2 linked regions of the Coturnix japonica genome follow. The protein of the gene in region 1 binds, or shares a complex with, the protein of each later gene. Links are inferred from orthologs where the notes say so. Each region holds a gene or a part of one and is shown on either strand. Other genes may lie near its edges. The genes, in order: RPS6KA3 and BMF.

Region 1 (3,818 bases):
AAATTGCAAGAACAGAAGTAATACCTGTTCTTGGCTAGAACGAGGATAGTTACAAGTATATAACTACCAAACTGAGTTTGGAGACTTTCCAGTAGAGAAATTGAGTGCAAGGATATGGGAAAACATTCTGAATTCATCTTTGCATTCTATGTGCAAGTAATGAATTGTTCAACAATTCAAGAAAATAATTGTTTCACACCATGGGATTAGTTTTTTTTTCCCCCTCTACTTTACAAGTCTGCTAATATACATCTTTGTTTAGTAACCATCCAATTCTACAGTGTTATGTAGAAAGACAATAAAAACAGACTTACGGCCCTTTTTTGTTTTATGACCAAGTAGTTACCTTTACAGCATATTCCATGTTTGAAGCTTTATGAACACATCTCTTGCAGATAGAGTAAGATCCAACTCCAATATCTTCTTTTACTTCATATCCATCAGTAAACTGGATGCTGTTCCTGTGCAACTGCTACCAAAATAACATTATCAATTGATCAATATTCTAAATGAAAAACTGGTATTTATATTAACAGTAAGTTTTTGAATTCCTAGTGATTTGCTTCAAATTTTAAACTGATAGCTATATTAGATCAAAGAGTTTTCAATAGACATTACCTTCTGTTTGATGCTAGTATGAGATAAATTCTATACATTATAAATGATGCTCACTGCACTTTCCAAACTGAAAACGTGACGTTCTTCTGCTTATGGATCTATTTATTTATAGATAGAATCTCAGACAAAAGAAGATCAGAGGGCTACAGTTAGCGATAAAAAAAAAGCATCATTATTTCTGTCATCTAAATTGATGAATGTTTTCTTTACATGTGAAATGTCAGCTACAAATTTCAGGTGGTATTCAGTATGATTAGACTAACTGGAAATTTCATGGTACAACAATTAAAAATCCTGTCAGAAATTAAAAGCGTGAAGGAGAAGTGTTCCAATTTTGTAAGGGAAGGAAATGGCTTTCTGGTATAAGGAATTTGTGCAAAGGATGCAAAGCATTTGCAGGAAACCATCTGGGTATCCTGCTGCAGAGAAAAGAGGAAATATGAGTGAGGAAGTGGTTGAGGGGCACAGAGGAAAAGCACTAGAGAGAGACTTTTACAAGAGAAGGAAGCCATATACAAAGAAAAAGAACATAATCCACAAAAGTATGTGGGAAAGAAGGAGCACAGAGAAGCTTTGGTAACTGTTAGCAATACTTCTGGACCAGAAGTCATTCTGACAAGCATACCAAATCAAACAGCTTCTTAGAATAAAAGGGGATCTACGAACCCTTTAAATTCAACATTTCATTACAAGTGAAAAGGGCAATGTGGACAAACATATTAGAACTACTCCAGACAGAGTAAAAAGAATGAAGAAATAAAAGCTACTCAGCTACAAAACATTCCTGCAGTGAAAATATAAGAAAAATCTGATCACACAGCATGTCATTTAGTTCCTACTACACATCAATGAGAAGTTTCCACCACAGCTCAGGCCACTAGTTAGTTTTCCTCAGTAATTTTTTTTTTTTTTCCTGTAGATGCATCTGCTTACATCCTGCTGACTGCAAACTGCCCAGTGCATGCCTTTAGAATGACCACAGTCTTACAAGGAGGCAAAGCATGGCTCTCCCCTATTCAAGCATGAAGCCCCCTTCCTTATTTCACACAAGACTGCACCCAGCCAAAGCTTTGCTGTCCAAAAATAAGCAGCACCGGAAGTAAGAGAATGTATAAAAATAGCAGCTGCTTTAGACTACTAAAATTAACAACCACACAATTACTAACGTAGGAGACACTACAGGAGTCATTCTAAAACCAGCAGGAAGCCAAAGCTTATGCATACTGCAACACTGACCTATAAGATAAACAAACAACCACAAAATGTCACAGCTTATTACATTTAATTTAAACTGGTTTGGGAGAGGTTGAATATATTCCTAAAATAAATAGCAGTCCACAACACCCAGGCAATTGTATTCTAGTGCTTCCTACATGTACTATAGGAATCGATATTTTGGGCTGTAAAACAAAATGATGAAGCTGCCTATATTCCACTTCATCATACAATCAAGGCTTGATATTAAAGAGTAGCTATAGTTTGGAGGATAGAATGCTTTCCTTTATGGGTTGAAGCCTGTTCATACTCACGGATGCTCAGAAATGAAAAAGGTCCTACACTTTCAAAGACCTTGCTTGAATAAAGTAATCTGATCCTTACATTTATTGTATAAAGCTGATAATGACACTGTCACAGTGCCTCATTTTACAACAAAGGAAACATCCCTTCCACCAAGAGAGGGTAACACTACATAACTGACCCTTTTTCCCCCTCCTCTGATGTTGATGTACTCACCTGGACAATTGAATGCACTCCAACTGTCTGCATTGACTGGCTTTCATCATCTGATGCAATAGCTACAAAACTAAATCCGCGAAAAAGTTGATGTGCATTAGCACTAGGTGGAATACCAGGCGAATCTGAAAAAAATATCATCTACTTACAAAGCATAATTTTTTAAAATGAAGAGATGCAGTTAGGACTATACTGTAGAGCAAAACAACTTTATTCTATGAAGTACGTAAACTGCAATTTGTATGAAGTATTTTTCAGTACTGAAATACAAGTACTGAATTATTTCCACATCCTAATTATAGCCACCATTGATAACCAAATACTTCAAAGATTGTATTACTGCTAGATAATGTTTTATAATACAAAACCAGTACTGTGCAGAAAATATTTCCCTACAGCAGTGTATTTATATTTATGGAGAAAGAATTCATAAATTTGGTAGCTCATTAAATTTATAGAGACAAGAATTTCTATCATATTTTGAATGGGTCTTTGTCAAGCTATGCAGAATCAGACTGCTCTCAAACAGCAACTTTATCCCCCAAAATCTGAAGTAAATTTCAACATATACATAGTATGTAAAGACACTACCACAAATTAAATGACACCATAGGGTATCACTTTCAAGAGATGGACATGAATCATCTTTAAATTAACAGTGACTATTTGGGATTTAGATGGGAAAATTGAATTTATCCGTATGCTTTGTTGGTGAGGATTACTTCAATTTTTATATAGGACAACTCAATACTCCCTCCATGTTATATTAGCACTCAAGACTACAAAAATCCTTATGAAATATGGAATATTTCTCTTTGAGTATTTGTTTAGCTCTGCAAAGCTTGCAAGAACAAGACACAGTCAACAGGAAAACTATTTCTAATTTTTAAATACATAAATTGTTGAATTCTTCTCTTTTTACCTTTTGGAGTTTTTGCTGTGAATTCAGGATCAAAATAAAACGTATCTTCAGGTCTGCCAGTTGCAGGTTTAAAAGGGGGATGAATTTCTCTTCTGTACAATTTCTAAAGAGAAAGGTAAGTCAGAGTGAATAGAAAAGTTTCATGACACCTACAAATACTTCTTAATTAAGAAGTTTATTATTATTATTTTTAATTAGGTACTCACATTCCAATCTATTTTGGAAAAGAAGGGATGTCTCTTAATTTCTTCTACTCCATCTGGACCAGCTCCTTTGTAAAGGAAGAATTACTTTCTTGGTCAAAAGGGATTACTAGGAAATTATATTTCTTATTACTACTAATTTTCTTTTTTTAGAAATGCAAATTAAAAAAAAGATATTTTGCTGTTCATCAGAAAAGCAAACAGGCAAGCTATGCTTTTCCTTCACAGCTTGTTTTAAACAAGAATCTGCATATGCATTTAGTCAATATAATTACTATGTTATCAATTTTATGATTCAATTTAAAGTATTCCATTAAGCACTTTACCTAATCTGTTAGCTG
Region 2 (3,818 bases), on another chromosome or scaffold:
GGTTCCCAGTGTGGGATGGGGTTAGATTGTGCGTGCAGCTGAGTCCAATGACAACTCAGTGACGTCAACCTCAGCAGCAATTGCCTGTTTAGTTCCCTCTCACAGCCAGGGAACGACCAACAGCCTTTGTGTCAACACAGCTCTGCTGCTGCAGGAGTAACATGAGCGCTATACCTGAACTGCTGGAGTGTCTCACAGAACTCAAGAGCCAAGTGAGGGCAACTCTTGAGCTGGCCACATGAATTACTCCAACACTGAAAGTCTCTCCTAACTCCTGCTGAATGAGAGCATGTTTTTTTCTTTTCACAAGTTCCCAGATAAGATGTTTTATAGTCCCCAAGAAGAGGCACAGCTTGCTGAAAACCAGACATGCTCTTTCTCAGGACTTCACAAGACCACAGTGGTGTGACTAACTCTGTGGTTTTCTAAATCTGATTCTAGACATCACTTTGGGAAGCTGATTATGACTGGCACTTTGAGACAGGTTGGAATGGGGCATCCAAATCTGTGTTCAGTTTTGCAGCAAGCCAGATGACAGCCTGGTTTTCCATGTCCCAGACTGCCCCACAACACATTGTCAAGCCAGTCCATGCCTCTCCAGATTCAGACTGTTCAGTTCCTCAGTGGCAGGCTGCAAAAAGTCACTGCACACAGGACATAGGGGCTGCATGAAGCCATGCCAAAAGCCATAGGAAATCCTCCATGCAGGGCTTGGAGGGGACTGGACATGTCAACAAAACACTCCATGGGGAACAGTGCCTCAGACACTACGATGTGGCTCAGCAAGAAGTTCCCCTGACAAACGAGAAAGAATCCCCCAGCAGATACGAATGCCAAAGCCTGTCCCAGGGTCGGGCTGTGGAGAACCACTGGCTGAACTATTCCATCCTCGGTTACGTTTCTGGATTTCTTCGGTTTTGTTTTCAAACGTAAATGGCTGAACAGCTCCCCCCCTTTACAACTTGTTGCTCTTCCAGTCCAAACAAAGACGGCAGAGCTCCTCCTCCGCTGGCTGCAGGATTGGGTAGTGCAGGCGGACGCCTTTGTTTACTAACTCTCCCACATGCTTGGCCGGCACGCACTGGGGCTGGCCGGGCAGCCCGAGCCGCAGCCCTGCGTACAGCGCAGGAGGCTGGCAGCTCCCCGCGGCCAAAGGCAGCAAAAGCCAGAGCAGGGGCAGCTTCAGAGCGCTGCTTTGGGTGGGCATTCTTGGATGCGTTTCCAAGGCATAGATATGAGTTTAGTCCCCGAGATGCAAGGGGTCAAGTTACAACCAGTTCCACCACTTTACTCCAGGGCTCCTCCACTCTGGAGACATTCGCCTTCCTTTTACTGAGACAATCTGGCTGTAGATAGCTATTGCGATGAAAAGGTGTCGCTGGGGAAAACCCCGTTCAACCAGCAACACATGCTAAAAAGCTTGAGGTTGTTCATCGTTTTCTGTGATTTGCAAAATGACATTCATAGCCCAATTCACCTTTCTATCTTCCTGTTACAGCTTTAACATCCCCTTAAGAAGAGTCCTGTTTCCCTCTTTCTTATCACAGAGACAACTAAAACTTTGCCCTCCTACAAGCCACATCCTCTGATCAGGGCAGAGCTCCTCACTTACCTTTGAAAAGAATTGAAACAGACTTCAAGTTAACAACACCAACACATTTGGAATGAGATAAGCTTTTGAAGTCACTCTCTGAAGTCAGCAAGAGTGTCAACTTCTTCATATGCACAGTTGGATACAAACTGCAACACCCTGCTGGACTTGCATACAAGTAGTAAAGTGCTGCCGAACTCTGGCCACCGATCTCTGCATGGCTGGGATGTCTACTTGTTTACCATTCAGTAGGGGAAGGAAGGGAGAATGGAGAAAGGATCTACATTTTTAAGGGACATGGCTTTTGTTTCTTTAAAAAACAGCAAAGTACTTTTTTTTCTTTTTTCTTTTCTTTTTTTTTAAAGAAAAGTAAAACAAGATTCTGTTTTTCAGACCTGATGGCATTTTACAGCTCTATTATGTTGTGAGGAAGTTGGTCACAAATCTGAGACACCAGCTAGGACTGTCCCACAGAGGAGCTGCTAGCAAGTCCAGCATGATCATAGTGCACTCTATTACTTGAGACATCTATCCCTAGACAACAAGGAGTGCCAAAACAGACTCTAGGCTTGTTGTCATCTCCAAAATGAGGAACTGACACAAGTCACAGACAACCAGCTGTACCACAGAAGACGTGATGATGGAGGTAAGGAGAGCGGAGAAGAAAAGTAAAATGCTAGGGAAAGCATCAGTGACCCTGTTGCTGATGAACCAGGAGAGCCAGAATAGCAGACAACAGCAGCTACCCTCCCAGACAATAAGTGCAGTTCTATACATGCTCTTCCCCCTACCTGCCAGTCTTTTACAGTGATCCATCAATCTAGCATGAGCAAAATACATAGGTATACCATGCTGTTTTGTCACTACTGGCAGCTCGTGGCTGCCTTAGGCAACAGCCTGCTTAGCTGAAGCCTGGAGCCAATCTTCTGGAGCACCACTCTTGGATAAGAAAGACCCCACCATCCCCTCTGGAAACACCCTACCCGCTGTATGTGGAGCCGGTGGAACTGGTCTGCAATGCACTGCAATTTCCGTGCAATCTGCACCTCAGTACGTGCCTCCCGCTGACCTTCCTGAGGCTCTTCTTGGAGATTTGGATCCAAAGCAAAGCCAACTGGAGGGACATGTAAGCGGTAACCAGCATTCCCTACAAAACAAAGACCAGCAGAGTCATTCTCCTAGCACAAAGAGTAGTTCTTTTATTCAGTATTACACTTCAGGCATACAGAAAGAGTTGCACATAATCCTGATTTTTTGACTCATTTTAAAGTCCAGTTTCTAAAGCCCAAGCAATGACCACATACACCATATGCATGCAGTACAGATTTAATTTGCTCAGCTTAAATTAGATTTATAACAATTAAGCATAACATTGTGTTGCTTCCCCTAATCAAATGACTGGATCTTCAACTTGGTTCTTTCTGCTTGTTTATGGTTCAGACGAGTGCAGAGGTGTTCGTTTTTCTTTAATGACAGTTTTACATCTCTTCCAACATCATTGCCTTAAGTTGTCCCCCTTTAAGGTTTTCTGTATGTGCTATGCCTTCAGACTTTTCTCAGTTGTTTTCTTGGGTGTTCAGTGGGACTGACTTGAATTAAGGTTGGACTGAGTACACAATACTGAATGATGTCCCATCAGTTACCAGTAAAGTGCTACTTATTCAACATGCTTAATTCCAGTAAAGAGCCTAAAGTCTGTCCCATTAGGTGGGAATTTTTTGCATTTTCTTCTCTTCATTGCAAACTTTCAGGAGGTTTTCTTATGTGGATGAGTAGCACAAGAGGTTTTTTTTTTTTAAAAAAAAAAAAAAGCAGGTAAATGGTAGGCTATGGCGGATGGTGAACATTTTAATGCCTGGCAGCAAAATAAAGTGACAGAATAAAGTGAAAAAGAAAAAAAAGTAGACGTATCAAGTACAGCAAAAGCAACCAGCAAGTGCTGAATTCCTGCAATAAGCAAGGGTAAGAAAATACAAGTTGCCGCTCTTTAGGGAATAGGAAAAAAGCAAAAATAATTTAAGTCTTTTAAGTTAAAGCTCTAACGAAAGAAACTGCCTGACTGGGGGAGTGCTGGAGGGACAGTTTCCTTGCTGAGAAGCTGGTGATGTTGGAGTGCTCTTACCATAGAAGAGTCTCCGGGGCTCTTCAGTGACTCCACAAGGCAACATAACATCCTGACTGGAGGAGGATGGGCTGAGTGTTTGAGTTGCCTTGTCCTGCTGCTCAG

Evidence for each region.
Region 2: the proteins of RPS6KA3 (region 1) and BMF are in contact, whole or in part, in a crystal structure (PDB 8R58), measured with the Homo sapiens proteins. The link is inferred for Coturnix japonica from reciprocal best matches to the Homo sapiens genes RPS6KA3 and BMF. Residues at the interface, in NP_004577.1 of Homo sapiens: Trp252, Phe259, Phe268, Leu281, Ala283, Lys284, Leu285, Gly286, Met287, Pro288, Leu299, Arg300, Phe303, Lys304, Arg305, Asn306, Asn309; in NP_001003940.1 of Homo sapiens: Glu8, Leu10, Glu11, Asp12, Asp13, Val14, Phe15, Gln16, Pro17.

The regions. Positions count from the first base shown.
Region 1 is NC_029516.1:105,990,341-105,994,158, forward strand, and holds part of RPS6KA3 (ribosomal protein S6 kinase alpha-3), read right to left. Parts: coding exon 3,804-3,818; intron 3,546-3,803; coding exon 3,481-3,545; intron 3,378-3,480; coding exon 3,275-3,377; intron 2,478-3,274; coding exon 2,353-2,477; intron 473-2,352; coding exon 347-472; intron 1-346. UniProt on the Homo sapiens protein: Serine/threonine-protein kinase that acts downstream of ERK (MAPK1/ERK2 and MAPK3/ERK1) signaling and mediates mitogenic and stress-induced activation of the transcription factors CREB1, ETV1/ER81 and NR4A1/NUR77, regulates translation through RPS6 and EIF4B phosphorylation, and mediates cellular proliferation, survival, and differentiation by modulating mTOR signaling and repressing pro-apoptotic function of BAD and DAPK1.
Region 2 is NC_029520.1:27,123,326-27,127,143, forward strand, and holds part of BMF (bcl-2-modifying factor), read right to left. Parts: coding exon 3,714-3,818; intron 2,739-3,713; coding exon 2,575-2,738; intron 1,800-2,574; exon of another isoform or gene 1,499-1,799; intron 1-1,498. UniProt on the Homo sapiens protein: May play a role in apoptosis. Isoform 1 seems to be the main initiator.